2 linked regions of the Stegostoma tigrinum genome follow. The main gene of each other region encodes a partner of the protein of the gene in region 2 in a complex. Links are inferred from orthologs where the notes say so. Each region holds a gene or a part of one and is shown on either strand. Other genes may lie near its edges.

Evidence for each region. Proteins that work in one complex are often made in the same cells at the same time.
Region 1: mcm5 (region 2) and gins1 share a complex: the UniProt entries of both Homo sapiens proteins name them as parts of the CMG helicase complex. The link is inferred for Stegostoma tigrinum from reciprocal best matches to the Homo sapiens genes MCM5 and GINS1.

What each region holds. Positions count from the first base shown.
Region 1 is NC_081362.1:20,094,717-20,102,640, reverse strand, and holds the start of gins1 (DNA replication complex GINS protein PSF1), read right to left. Parts: upstream 3,027-7,924; 5' UTR 2,699-3,026; coding exon 2,624-2,698; intron 1-2,623. UniProt on the Homo sapiens protein: Required for correct functioning of the GINS complex, a complex that plays an essential role in the initiation of DNA replication, and progression of DNA replication forks.
Region 2 is NC_081391.1:3,319,506-3,327,044, reverse strand, and holds the start of mcm5 (DNA replication licensing factor MCM5), read left to right. Parts: upstream 1-4,487; 5' UTR 4,488-4,692; coding exon 4,693-4,859; intron 4,860-7,539. UniProt on the Homo sapiens protein: Acts as a component of the MCM2-7 complex (MCM complex) which is the replicative helicase essential for 'once per cell cycle' DNA replication initiation and elongation in eukaryotic cells.

The sequences.
Region 1 (7,924 bases), on a different chromosome or scaffold from region 2:
ATAAGGATTTAGGAGTCATTGCCCATGGATCACAAAAAAACAAGCATCCAAGTTCAGTAGGTAATGGGAAGGCAAATGAAATGTTGGCTTTTATTTCAAATGAAATGGAGAATGAACGTAAAGAGGTTTTCCTACAACTATACAAAGTATAGTCAGACCACAGCTGGAATACTACGAACAGTTTTGGGCCCCTTATCTAAGGAAGGATATACTGGCATCAGAGGTATGGAAGGATTGGGCTGGTTTTCATTAGAATAGAGAAGAATGAGAGACAACCTTATTGAAACATATAAAATTCTTAACTAACTTGACAGAGTAGATGTGGAGAGCTTGTTGCCCCTTATAGGAGAGTATAGGGTCAAAGGGCATAATTTCAGAATAATACGTTGACCATTTAGGGCAGATGAGGAGGAATTTCTTCTCTCAGAAGTGGAGAATGTTCAGAATTGTTTATCACAAAAGGCTGGGGAGGCAGGGTCATTGAGTCGTTAAGGCAGAGATAGATATTTAATTCGTAAATGAATCATGAGTTATGAGGAAAAGGCAGGAAAGGGGAGTGGAGGATTATCAGATCAGCCACGATTTCATTAAATGACAGAACAGACTCAACGGGCTGAATAGCATATTTCTACTCTTAGCACATGATTTATTCTTTATTTTGACTCTGAGGGGAAGGGAGATTGAGCAAACTGGAATAAAACAACTTAGAAGAATCGACTGTAAGAATTTCTAAGTAAAGCTATAAAAAGAAAACTGGAAAATGATGTGATGGGAACTAGCTAACATCTTTGTTCCATTAGGGATCTGAATTTCACATCCTTCCTATTGATATACAGTACAATTAGATATTTAATCAACATTAACAGGAACACAAGGATCTTTGGGCCATTTATATGAATGATCTTACCAGAAAATATCTATGGCAACTGTGAATAGAACATCCTCTTATTGTTTTACTTTTGTAATTCAGGCTTTGAATTACCTAATTCATTGCTGCGCTGCAGTGTTTCAGACATATTATGACCCCAGAGCTCTTTCTCTGCTGCATCTTTAGTCATTATCATTCATGGTATAATCACTTTTCTTCTTTCAGATATGCTCTAAGATACAAAGGGTACAGGTATCTGGGAAAGCTTCCCAAGTATGTCCATGGCCCAGATGGAAGAACCATTTTTTCCCTTAACAAGTACCCTTGTAGATAATGGAAACTCGAGTAGGTATGCAATTATTTCCAAAAATTTACACTCTGAATTGAAAAAACTCAACTCCCCTCGAATCCTTCTGTCAATTACTTGACATCTGTGTTCCCTAGTTATGGCTATGCAAAGAAAGCAGGTTCCTCCTAGTATAAGCTTGGCATTCATATATTCGATGTAGATTGAGAGACATGCAGCTCTGTGGCGCAGTGGAGAGCCTGCTGGACTTCCAAAACAATAGTGAAATGTGCTATTCAATGGTCGTGGGTACAAATCCTACCAGAGTTGAGTTTTCTGTGAAATCTTCACTATCATCACAGGGTGGCACGGTAATTAGCACCATTGCCTCACAGCACCAGGGATCTGGGTTTGATTCCAGCCTTGGGCAACTGTCTGTATGGAGTTTGCACATTCTCCTTGTGTTTGAGAGAGGTTCCTCTGGGTGCTCTGGCTTTCTCCCACAGTCCAAAGATGTGCAGGTTTGGTCGATTTGCCATGGGAAATGCAGGGTTATGGGCTTAGGGCAATGATGTGGATCTGAGTGGGATGCTTTTTGGAAGGTTGGGGTAGACTTGATGGACTGAATGGCCTGGTTCAACACTGTAGGGATTCTTGATTCTACATGGCACTATACTGTAGATATACATGGACATGAAAACAATATGGATCTGAAATCGAATATCTGAATGACATACCACTATATGCTTTATGAAACCTGTCCTTCTCCTTTCAGGGATCGAGGCAGGCACGCCAAGTCTCCTCTGGTCCTCTACAATTCATAATATCCCACTATTCACTGCGCAGTCCGTTGCCTCGTTTGGTCTTGCCCAACTCCATTCCCGCAGATTTCTCTGCATTGATTTTCCCCACGCCAAACAAAAAACCTCGCCACTTTTCTAAGAACCAAAAGAACTGCGGATAGTGTAAATTAGGAACAATAAGAGAGTTGCTGGAAAAGCTCAGCAGGTCTGGCAGTATCTGTAGAGGAGAAAACAGAGTTAACGTTTCGGGTCCGGTGACCCTTCCTCAGTTCCGGACCCGAAGCGTTAATTCTGTTTTCTTTTTCACAGATGCTGCCAGATCTGCTGAGCTTTTCCAGCAACTTCGTTTTTGCTCGCCACTTTTCTGTCCACTTGACCACTGTCGAACCTATAACCTTCTCCCTCACTACCAATTCAATCGCGTTTTTATTCCTCAACATCATTATTTGTCTCGTCCTTCATTATTGCTCGATTAAACAATAGTAAAAATGTTGGGTATTAAAATAAACAACTGAAAGCACTCGAGAAACTCGGCAGATCTGGCAGCATCCCTAGACACAAAAACAAGGTTAAAGTCTCGAGCCCAATAACATTTCTTCGGAGTAAGATTAGTGTTTCACTTTTAATATTTTAAAGACTTATTTGGAAAAATACTACGTTACTCACATTAAAAGCGGGCAACTGACCGTCCGCAGCTCGTTGGAGTTCTCGGATTAACTCGATAGCTTTTTCACAAAACATTATTCCCAGAAGGAGCAAACGGTATTATAATATAAACCTCTACAAACAAGAACGGACGAGCTGTAAAACACGGAGCAAAAATCTTCCATCCAAACCCCCGCCAAAACCGACTAAAGACCCAGGTGGCGGCGGGACCAATCAGGAAGGTGGAGAGCGGGCAGTCACCTCCGTCACTTCCTCCCGAAAAAAATAGCTTGACTGCAAAGTATAAACAGCGAACAATATCTACTCGATGTTCCTACAAAAGGTATGTGTGGTCAACTGATTTATTTTTAAAAATGTGAAATTCCTTCTTTGTGTATGCCCCCCTCCCGTACAACAGATTCGCCGTTTGATTTTGCTTTTTCCCCTACGGCTCGAGCTTCTCAGTCAACCGGCTCCCTCAGCGCGAGACCCAACTGGCGAACTCGAGGAGAGCGCTTGCGCTCTAACTGCCCCTTCCTTTCGCTACTGGCAACCCTCTCTCTATCACAACCGTCATGTTCCATTTGTTTCTACTCATAGAAAAATCCCCACAACATGAAACCAGGTCCATACCGCCCTTTCGAAGGAAGAAGAAGCATCCCACCCAGATCCACTCCCCAACCCTTCATTTCCTATATCTAATCCACCTAATTTACACACCCCGGGACATTACGGGCAATTTAGCATGACCAATTCACCTAACCTGCACATCTTTGGACTGCGGGAGGAAACCCACGCAGACACGGGGAGAATGTGCAGACTCCACACAGACAGTCACCCGAGGGTGGAATCGAACTCGGGTACCTGGCGCTATGAGGCAGCAGTGTTAACCACTGAACCACCGTGCCACCCAAAATGAAGGCAAGTTCGTCTGGGATGTGTTTTTAATTCGTCCATTTTAAGAATGCTGTGTGCATTCAGTTAGCCATTTATTCTGCCTTTTTACCTTTTTTTTGCCTTTTCCTCATCTGTTAGTATACTAACAATGCCTGTATGCCCTGTCCCCTCTTATCACAGTGTTTGATAATTATTCCCATCTCTGTCGTATTGCCTTGTTTTACTTCCTCCATAACTTTCAAAATTTCCCTTCATGTAAGCCCTATTTTCCCCACCTCTCCCAACTGTTCTTTTTAGCTGAAAACCTACTGTACAGTCCTTGTTGTATAATTTAGCTAGATGTTGGCCCAGTGTAGCTGAAGAGAAGGCACAGTACTGCTCCCTTTTTGTCCAGCACTGATGCCAACTCTCTTCAAATTTAAATGTATTTCTTCTACACTAAACTTTGAACCAATTCAATGCTCTAACCTTGGTAACTCTGTGCCAAATTTGTCTTCAGTAAGTAATCCAGGGACATATCTATCAGTGTAGCTAGATAAGCTATTAATCTAATGCAATGTATCAGTCTCTATGTCAGTTTAACCTACCGTCTGCTTTTACAGGAATAACATCAGCAAACTTTGAACATTCACCAGCTTCTGGGGGGAAAAAAGTGAAAAAGCAACATCTGTTTTCACTTCTGCAAATAATTCCCAAGTTAGCACTTATTACACTCTGCTGACAAACTTGTGTACATAGGTTTATGATTAATATGTTCAGGGTTGGAAAGAGGTCTTCAGACCCATACCCATGATTTTCTGAGTTGACTATTATCCACCAAACTTCTCTCCTATGCCTTGTAGGAGACAATGAGCTGATTGATTTATTGGTGCTATCTGACCTATTCTAGCTAAACCTTTTTAGGTCCCACAGGCACAAGTTACTATCAAGAAATAACTTGTTTTATTTATTGAGATCACATAGCTTAAGAATTCTAACTAATGCTGTCTCAACAAAAGCTCCTGTCATTGTTGAAGATTTGCAGTCAGTGTCACTATGGGAAACTCGTGGTAATGGCAAAAATAGCTGCAAGGTCTTGTTGGATTTTGAGCAAAATAGAAATAAACAGAAAATTCTGGAGAGACTCAACAGATCTAGCAGTATTGGTGGAGAGAGAAACTGTTTTGAAAAAGAACTGAGGATGCTGTAAATCAGGGAGGAAAAAAAACATCAGAGATAATGGGAACTGCAGATGCTGGAGATTCCAAGATAATAAAATGTGAGGCTGGATGAACACAGCAGGCCAAGCAGCATCTCAGGAGCACAAAAGCTGACGTTTCGGGCCTGGACCCTTCATCAGAGAGGGGGATGGGGGGAGGGAACTGGAATAAATAGGGAGAGAGGGGGAGGCGGACCGAAGATGGAGAGTAAAGAAGATAGGTGGAGAGGGTGTAGGTGGGGAGGTAGGGAGGGGATAGGTCAGTCCAGGGAAGACGGACAGGTCAAGGAGGTGGGATGAGGTTAGTAGGTAGCTGGGGGTGCGGCTTGGGGTGGGAGGAAGGGATGGGTGAGAGGAAGAACCGGTTAGGGAGGCAGAGACAGGTTGGACTGGTTTTGGGATGCAGTGGGTGGGGGGGAAGAGCTGGGCTGGTTGTGTGGTGCAGTGGGGGGAGGGGATGAACTGGGCTGGTTTAGGGATGCAGTGGGGGAAGGGGAGATTTTGAAACTGGTGAAGTCCACATTGATACCATATGGCTGCAGGGTTCCCAGGCGGAATATGAGTTGCTGTTCCTGCAACCTTCGGGTGGCATCATTGTGGCAGTGCAGGAGGCCCATGATGGACATGTCATCAAGAGAATGGGAGGGGGAGTGGAAATGGTTTGCGACTGGGAGGTGCAGTTGTTTGTTGCGAACTGAGCGGAGGTGTTCTGCAAAGCGGTCCCCATGTTGCTGGAAAAGCTCAGCAGGTCTGGCAGCATCTGTGAAGAAGAAATCAGTTAATATTTCGGGTCTGGTGACCATTCCTCAGAACTTCTGAGTTCTGAAAAAGAGTCTTTGGACTTGAAATGTTAAATTTCATTCATTTCCACAGATGTTTCCAGGCCTGCTGAGTTTCTTTATTTTCTGCTTTTATTTAAAGCATCTGTAGTATTTGGAATTATTAGGAGGAATTAGAGTTTCTGTAGTGAGAAACTGAAATAAGAATCATGCCTTAAGGTAACATAGGCATAGCTGAGAGCTTAATGGGAATGATGTCACACGTGCAGAAACAGGTATTTTTGATGATTAACTCAACCTGCAATTTAAAGCTCAACTTATTGATGGAGATCTCCACATCAATAAGCAGCAGGTAAAGGAGATGAAATCATGTTCTGAGGCATTACTTTTCAGGTACTGATTGCTTGACAGGATAGTATCGGATAAGCTGATGAATGGAATGTTTTGTTCACTTTTTTATAAGCAGGAAATCTCTAAATTTTAAGATCTCTCAACAGGGGTTTGGCATTCTATTTAAGCATTGCTCTATACTTTCTCATACTGATGAGAATGTACATTACCTTCTGGTATGCAAAAAGTCACTTCAAACACATTATTTCTAAGAAACATTTCTTTCCACTTAACTTCCTAGATGATACTGACTTGAAGAGATTTTGTTACATATTGGTAGTGTCCTTACCTCTGAGCTACAAGTTGTGGGTTCAATTCCCACCTTAAGACTTGACGTCCATAAAACTATGTCTTTACCTGGGAAAACAAGATACAGTCGTTATTAATACGTAAATCCTTTTGATATGCTTAAGGCAGACTGTAAGAATGCGAGAGTTTTCTAGTCCGACAATATGGTAGCCGTAGACCAGAGACTTCCCCATGTTAAAGTCATTTGAGGAGTTACTGTACACTATTAAATTTGGTTCGCCTGACATAGCTGCAAAGAAGCAAAAACTTTCAATCCTATTGTTCAGTTCATTTTTAATTGGTTGGGCAATCATCATTTTGAATTTGATAATATAATCGAGAAGTACAGTTTATAAATGAATTTGTTTTGGTACACCTCTATAAAAGGATTTTGAATGTATTTTTAAGCACAGCTTTTACTCAGTCGGTTGTCATTCAGTTGTCGATTAGCAGATTAGAGCTTTACCCAGTAGCAAACAAGTACACAATACATAAATGAGGGTCAGATTTATGCTGAGCGTTAATGCAACTTTACTTTCAATAATCCATGGAAAATTGGTCTTTCCCAATAGAATACCTGCCTTCTCAGGTGAATGTAAATGATCCATTGGCACTATTGCAAAAAAAGCGTGGGTTTTCTTTTAATATAGCCACTGTGAAATCAACCATTTGACAAAGTAAACAATTGACACGCACCACTCACAAGTAGCAATAACACAGACAGGGAGTTTAGGATGAGAGGGAGGGGATCCAATTGAAATAGGGTTGGAGGGGGAACTGATACACTCCGCTTTATCCTTCTCAAAGGCTTTCAAAGTGTTCTCTTGATACTTTTGAGTTAATTGTATCAAAATTGGCTATAGAAATTGTATCCAGGTGATGGGCATAAACTGGGGCTTGATTTGGCTTTCTACGATAATGGGGTGGAACAGAAACTATGGTTGATTACATTTGGGATGTATGTTTGTAATATGTATTGTTGTAAATAAATCTTGTAAATGTACAATATTAAGCTGGAGTTCTATGCTGTTTCACCTGGTTATCTAGCCAATAATTATCCCTCGACTAATGCAGAGAAATCTGGTCACTTACATAATTTGATGTTTGTGGGACCTCGTTGTGCACAGATTAGCTACATATTTCTTCCATTTCTACAGTGAACTCTTCAAAAGTACCTTGTCTGCAAGCACTTCATAATGTATGGAGGTTGTGAAAGCTTCCATTTAAATTCAAATTTGCTCAGTTATTAATCTGTAATTTTAGCACCATGCTTTTTGCATCAGCACTTAACTCGCATACTGGTCAATAAATCTTTCTCAGAATAATAGCATGTGCTACGCATTATTTTAATTGAATACTCGTACTTCACTCCCAATTGACTTGCAACTTGCTCCCAGACGGTTCATGCATTATATTTTTAATATTTTTATGAAATGCCAGTTCGCAGAAATCAGCTGGAAGATTCTTTTTAAAGCTTCCTCTCACAAGCTCAAATATTTAGTGACTTTTTCCGGCCTGCTTCCCTGAAAAATGAATGCTGAATCTGATACATTGACTCTTTAAAACATAGGAGGCGTGTTTCCTCCAAACGGGTGAGAGGTTGGAGGTTGTGACTGATCAGCTGATTCCAAGCTGTGGGAGTCGCTGCTAACAATGTACTAAACCGGGTGCCTTTCGAAAAACCGCAACCCTCGGAGACTGAAGTCTGCGCTAAGTGCTTCGCCTGTAGCTCTTTACTTTTCCTTTCATCTCTCCTAAATAGAGGTGGCT
Region 2 (7,539 bases):
CAACATTTAGAAAGGCCAGGGCAGCAGACACATGGGTACAGTACCACCCAGGTGTTCCCCTCAGACTCAAAAATCAACCTCACTAGCCCCACCACCTCTGGCTTCTCTGTGTCTCCCTCGTCCGCTCCACACTCCCCACGAATTCCACCACCCCCTGCAACTTTTACCTGCAACCGCAGGAAGTGCTACACCTGCCCCTACACATCCCCCCTCACCCCCATCCCAGACCCCAAGAAAACCTTCCACATTAAAGAGATGTTCGCCTGCACCTCTGCTAATGGTATATTGTATCTGCTGCTCCTGATGTGGCCTCCTCTACATCAGGGAAACAAAGCAGAATCTTGGAGACCGCTTTGTGGAACACCTATGCTCGGTTCGCGACAAACAACTGCACCTCCTGGTCGCAAACCACTTCAACTCCCCTTCCCACTCCTTGGACGATATGTCCATCCTGGGCCTCCTTCAGTGCCACAGCGATGCCACCCGAAGGCTGTAGGAACAGCACCTCATATTTCGCTTGGAAACCCTACAGCCCAATGGTCTCAACGTGGACTTCACAAACTTCAAAATCTCCCCACCCCGACCTCATCCCAAGTCCAGCCCAGCTCGTACCCACCTCCTTGACATCTCCGTCTTCCCTCCCATCAGAATCAGAGGACACAGTTTAAAAATAAGGGGTAGGCCATTTAGAACAGAGTTGAGGAAAAACTTCTTCACCCAGAGAGTGGTGGATATATGGAATGCTCTGCCTCAGAAGGCAGTGGAGGCCAAGTCTCTGGATACTTTCAAGAAAGAGATGGATAGAGCTCTTAAAGATAGTGGAATCAAGGGTTATGGGGATAAGGCAGGAACAGGATACTGATTGTGGATGATCAGCCATGATCATAATGAATGGTGGTGCTGGCTCGAAGGACCGAATGGCCTACTCCTGCACCTAATGTCTATTGTCACCCACCCTTCCTTCCCAACTGACCAACCCCCGTCCCAACAACCTACCTACGCTCACCTTTACAGGCTTCACCCCGTCTCCTTGACCTGTCCGTCTTCTCTCCACCTATCTGCTCCTTTATCCACATTCCATCATTGCCTCCCCCTCTCCCTATTTATTTCAGAGACCCCTTCGCCTCCCCCAGCTGTGTTCATCCAGCTCTACACCTTGTTATCCCAGGTTCTCCAGCATCTGCAGTTCCTACTATCTCCAGGCCCGAAACGTCAGCTTACCTGCTCCTCTGATGCTGCTTCGCCTGCTGTATTCATCCAGTTCTACACCTTGTTATCTCTTACTTGGAAATGTATCACTTTCTACTCTTAGACAAGTAATCTGCATTGGAGTCAAGATGAATTCAGAAAGTGCTTAATACGCATTGCTTTAACAATTGAAACAGAAAGGTTGAAAATCTTGAACAATATGTTAAACTGTTATTAACCTTATGGTTAGGTCTCAAGCGTAGCATAATATCAAAATCTGAATACCGTCCTTCAGCAAAAATGTCAAGGTCCTGCATAGGAGGTAGACTGGAATGATTCCAGAGATGAGGGATTTTGATGAATTCAAGACCAAAGGAGCACTTCATGTGGGGAAGATTCATATGTGATTTTATAACCAAGTTCAAATTGATAAAGGATGTTTACAGAACGTAAGGAGAAATTGTAAGATTGGCTCAGTGGTTAACACTGCTGCCTCACAGCCCCAAGAACCCCAGGTTCAATTCCAGCCTTAAGCAACTACCTGTGTGGAGTTTGCATGCTCCCCCTGCGTTTGTGTGGGTTTCTGCTGGGTGCTCTAGTTTCCTCCCACAATCCAAAGATGTGCAAGTTGGGTGGATTGGCCATAATAAATTGCACATAGTGTCCAGGGATGTGTAGGTTAAGTGTGTTAGCCGTGAGAAATGCAGGGTTATGGGGATGGGTCTGGCTGGGATGCTCTTTGGAGGATTAGTGTGCACTTGTTGGGCTGCATGACCTGTTTACACACTGTGGGGATTCTATTTAAAAAATACTCTTCTCAGATACTTTCTAATCAACGTGTTCAAAAATATCATTTTACACTCTGGAGCAGGTGACACTTGAACCTTCCTGCCTCAGAGGCAGGAACAATATCATTACACCATAACAGCCAAAAAGAAACTCTTTCCATTGACAGGGCAGTGAATCAACAGAGGCAAGAGATTGCTCATAGCAGAGTGGGGAGAATTTTCATGTTGCATTCGTTGTGATCTGGAATTCTGCATCTGTAAGGATGGAACTCTCCAAACAGAATTGGTTAAATACATGGATATTTATCTATTTCCACACAATCACTATTTACAACAAATGTAAATATAGGAGGCACAGTTAATAAGTTTGCAGATGACACCAAAACTAGTGGTGTAGTGGGCAGTGAAGATGGTTATCTCAGAGTACAATGGGACCTTGATCAGATGGGCCAATGGGCCAAGGAGTGGCAGATGGAGTTTCATTTAGATAAGTGTAAAGTGTGGCATTTTGGTAAGGTAAGCCAGGGCAAGACTTGTACAGTTAAGGGTAGGGCCCTAGGCTGTGTTGCTAAGCAAAGAGACCCAAGGATGCAGGTGCATAGTTCCTTGCAAGCGGACTCGCAGGTAGACAGGCTGCTGAAGAAGGCATTTGGCACACTTGCCTTCATTGGTCAGAACATTGAATATAGGAGATGGGACATCATGTTACAGCTATAGAGGACAATGGTAAGGCAACTTTTAGAATACTGCATACAATTCTGGCCGCCCTTCCACGTCGTTGTTAAAGCTGAGAGTGCAGAGAAGATTTGTAAGGATGTTTCTGGGACTGGGGGGGTTTAAGTTACGGGGAGGGGCTGAATAAGCTGTGGCTTTTTTGCTGCAGTGTTGGTGGCTGAGGGGGTAACGTTATAGAGGTTTACAAAATCATGAGGGGCATAGCAAAAGTGAGGTCTTTTTCCTAGGGTGGGGAAAGCTAGAGGGCACAGGTTTAAGTCGAGAGGGGAAACATTTGAAAAGGACCTAAGGTGCAACTTCTTCATGCAGATGGGGGATGGTAAATGAAACAAGTGGCAGGCAAAGTGATGCAGGCAAATACAATTACTACATTTAAAAGGCATCTGGATAGGTACAGGAATAAGAAGGGTTTAGAAGGATTTGGACCAAATGCTAGCAATGGACCTGGGTTAGATTGGGATGCCTGGTTGGTGCAGACAGGTTGGATTGAAGGATCTGTTTCCGTGCTGTACATCTTTATGACCTTGGGCGGCACGGTGGCTCAGTGGTTAGCACTGCAACCTCACAGTGCCAGGGACCCAGGTTTGATTCTAGCCTCAGGTAACTGTCTGTGCAGAGTTTGCACATTCTCCCCATGTCTGCGTGGGTTTCCTCCGGGCGCTCCGGTTTCCTCCCACAGTCCAAAGATGTGCAGGCTAGGTGGATCGGCCATGCTAAATTGCCCGTAGTGTTCGGGGGTGTGTGGATTATAGGGGGATGGGACTGGTTGGGATGCTTCAAGGGGCAGTGTGGACTTGCTGGTCCAAAGGGCCTGTTTCCACACTGTGGGGAATCTAACCTAATTGTGAGATTCAAACCCACCGGTGCCTGTGGATTCTTGTTTTGCTTGAAGTGGGGTGTGGTACAGGTTGGGAGCATTTGCATGAAGAGTGATTGAAGTACACAAATGTTTCAATGGAGATTGGCAAGATATAGAATTGCTAACTCTGCCTGGACACATTCCTGAAGCTTTTATCACGGCATTTCCCATCACCTAGTCAAAGATGTTTTTGTTCCCTCAGTGCCAATATCTTTCGAGATGATTAATGCTGTACAAAGTAGGTAAAGAAATCACAACCTTTTCATTACATGGCCCTACGGTCATTCTCCTTGTGTTTCACCCTCTCCAATCAGAAATCATACGACACCAGGTTATAACCCAACATGTTTATTCAAAAACACAAGCTTTTAGAGCATAGACCGTGTCAGGTGAAGCACTCCAAAAGCTTGCGTTTTCAAATGAACTGTGTTGGGCTATAACCTGGTGACTGTGATTTCTGGCCTTGGTCACCCCAGTCTGACACTGGCACTGCCACATCATGATTCTCCAGTGGCCAGGAGGTTAATTGATAATTGCTATTCAGCTCTCAGGACAATGCTCAAATAAAAGCTAAATATGCAGGAAATAATGAAATAAACACAGCAAGTGTTTGGAGATCATGCTGGAGGCTTGGGAACACCTATCAGAAAAACAAACCTGAATAGCAGACCTTCCACTCAGATAGTTCCAGGGAAATCACGTCCCAGGAGGGTTCATCAATGCAAGGAGTTTGTTGCTTTAAGGTGGAAAGTGACCGGGAAAGAGAGGCCTAGGGCCTTTAATTTCCGCCCAAATGGGGGAGCAGCGGCGCAAGGGGCCGGGTGATCGCCCGGAAATGCCTTTTCCTGCTGATTGGCTAATATTTGGCGCCAGAACGGGGATAGGGCGGAGCCAGTTCTAGGAACAGCCAATGAGAGAAAGAGGGCGGGACCTGATGTGGTTCTGGCGCGAAAGCCCAGGGTGCGCGGCGGGGAAGAAGGGAGAGAAATAAAAAATTGAAGAGAGAAAGTAGACGGAAAATAAATAGAGGGAAAGATAAAATAACGAGATAGAGTGAGAGAAAGTGAAGAGGAGGAAGAAGAAGAATTCTCGAGAGGCCCCAGACTCGGGCCCGGCCCCGCCATGTCCGGGTTTGATGATCCCGGCGTGTTTTTCAGCGACAGCTTCGGGTCTGAAACCCCGGGAGACTCGGGCCAGATCCGCCGGACACAGCTCCAGAAGCGGCTGCGGGATTTCCTCCGGCAGTACCGGGAGGGCAGCGACCGCACCGGCTTCACTTTCAAATACAGGTCCGCGCGGAAAGGCGGGGGGGCGGGAGAGAGGGTCAAGGGGAGTGTGGAGGGCAAGGAGGAGGAGGAGGGGGAGAGGTCTCGGGGTGGGGGTGGTCTGAGGAGGGGGGGGCACGGGGTGGGGGGGTGGGGGTGGTCTGAGGAGGGGGGGGCACGGGGTGGGGGGGTGGGGGTGGTCTGAGGAGGGGGGGGCACGGGGTGGGGGTGGTCTGAGGAGGGGGGGGCACGGGGTGGGGGGGTGGGGGTGGTCTGAGGAGGGGGGGGCACGGGGTGGGGGTGGTCTGAGGAGGGGGGGGCACGGGGTGGGGGTGGTCTGAGGAGGGGGGGGCACGGGGTGGGGGTGGTCTGAGGAGGGGGGGGCACGGGGTGGGGGTGGTCTGAGGAGGGGGGGCACGGGGTGGGGGTGGTCTGAGGAGGGGGGGGCACGGGGTGGGGGGGTGGTCTGAGGAGGGGGGGGCACGGGGTGGGGGTGGTCTGAGGAGGGGGGGGCACGGGGTGGGGGGGTGGGGGTGGTCTGAGGAGGGGGGGGCACGGGGTGGGGGGGTGGGGGTGGTCTGAGGAGGGGGGGGCACGGGGTGGGGGTGGTCTGAGGAGGGGGGGGCACGGGGTGGGGGTGGTCTGAGGAGGGGGGGCACGGGGTGGGGGTGGTCTGAGGAGGGGGGGCACGGGGTGGGGGTGGTCTGAGGAGGGGGGGGCACGGGGTGGGGGTGGTCTGAGGAGGGGGGGGCACGGGGTGGGGGGGTGGGGGTGGTCTGAGGAGGGGGGGGCACGGGGGGTGGGGGTGGTCTGAGGAGGGGGGGGCACGGGGTGGGGGTGGTCTGAGGAGGGGGGGCACGGGGTGGGGGTGGTCTGAGGAGGGGGGGCACGGGGTGGGGGTGGTCTGAGGAGGGGGGGGCACGGGGTGGGGGGGTGGGGGTGGTCTGAGGAGGGGGGGGCACGGGGTGGGGGGGTGGGGGTGGTCTGAGGAGGGGGGGGCACGGGGTGGGGGGGTGGGGGTGGTCTGAGGAGGGGGGGGCACGGGGTGGGGGTGGTCTGAGGAGGGGGGGGCACGGGGTGGGGGGGTGGGGGTGGTCTGAGGAGGGGGGGGCACGGGGTGGGGGGGTGGGGGTGGTCTGAGGAGGGGGGGGCACGGGGTGGGGGGGTGGTCTGAGGAGGGGGGGGCACGGGGTGGGGGTGGTCTGAGGAGGGGGGGGCACGGGGTGGGGGGGTGGGGGTGGTCTGAGGAGGGGGGGGCACGGGGTGGGGGGGTGGGGGTGGTCTGAGGAGGGGGGGGCACGGGGTGGGGGTGGTCTGAGGAGGGGGGGGCACGGGGTGGGGGTGGTCTGAGGAGGGGGGGCACGGGGTGGGGGTGGTCTGAGGAGGGGGGGCACGGGGTGGGGGTGGTCTGAGGAGGGGGGGGCACGGGGTGGGGGTGGTCTGAGGAGGGGGGGGCACGGGGTGGGGGGGTGGGGGTGGTCTGAGGAGGGGGGGGCACGGGGTGGGGGGGTGGGGGTGGTCTGAGGAGGGGGGGGCACGGGGTGGGGGTGGTCTGAGGAGGGGGGGGCACGGGGTGGGGGGGTGGGGGTGGTCTGAGGAGGGGGGGGCACGGGGTGGGGGGGTGGGGGTGGTCTGAGGAGGGGGGGGCACGGGGTGGGGGGGTGGTCTGAGGAGGGGGGGGCACGGGGTGGGGGTGGTCTGAGGAGGGGGGGGCACGGGGTGGGGGGGTGGGGGTGGTCTGAGGAGGGGGGGGCACGGGGTGGGGGGGTGGGGGTGGTCTGAGGAGGGGGGGGCACGGGGTGGGGGGGTGGTCTGAGGAGGGGGGGGGCACGGGGTGGGGGGGTGGTCTGAGGAGGGGGGGGGCACGGGGTGGGGGGGTGGTCTGAGGAGGGGGGGGGCACGGGGTGGGGGGGTGGTCTGAGGAGGGGGGGGCACGGGGTGGGGGGGTGGTCTGAGGAGGGGGGGGCACGGGGTGGGGGTGGTCTGAGGAGGGGGGGGCACGGGGTGGGGGGGTGGGGGTGGTCTGAGGAGGGGGGGGCACGGGGTGGGGGGGTGGGGGTGGTCTGAGGAGGGGGGGGCACGGGGTGGGGGTGGTCTGAGGATGGGGGGGGCACGGGGTGGGGGGGTGGGGGTGGTCTGAGGAGGGGGGGGCACGGGGTGGGGGGGTGGGGGTGGTCTGAGGAGGGGGGGGCACGGGGTGGGGGGGTGGGGGTGGTCTGAGGATGGGGGGGGCACGGGGTGGGGGGGTGGGGGTGGTCTGAGGATGGGGGGGGCACGGGGTGGGGGGGTGGGGGTGGTCTGAGGATGGGGGGGGCACGGGGTGGGGGGGTGGGGGTGGTCTGAGGAGGGGGGGGCACGGGGTGGGTGGGTGAGGGGGGGTTCTTAGGAGGGGGGGGCACGGGGTGGGTGGGTGAGGGGGGGTTCTTAGGAGGGGGGGCACGGGGTGGGTGAGGGGGGGTTCTTAGGAGGGGGGGCACGGGGTGGGTGAGGGGGGGTTCTTAGGAGGGGGGGCACGGGGTGGGTGAGGGGGGGTTCTTAGGAGGGGGGGCACGGGGTGGGTGAGGGGGGGTTCTTAGGAGGGGGGGCACGGGGTGGGTGAGGGGGGGTTCTTAGGAGGGGGGGCACGGGGTGGGTGGGTGAGGGGGGGTTCTTAGGAGGGGGGGGCACGGGGGGGGGTGGGTGGGTGAGGGGGGGTTCTTAGGAG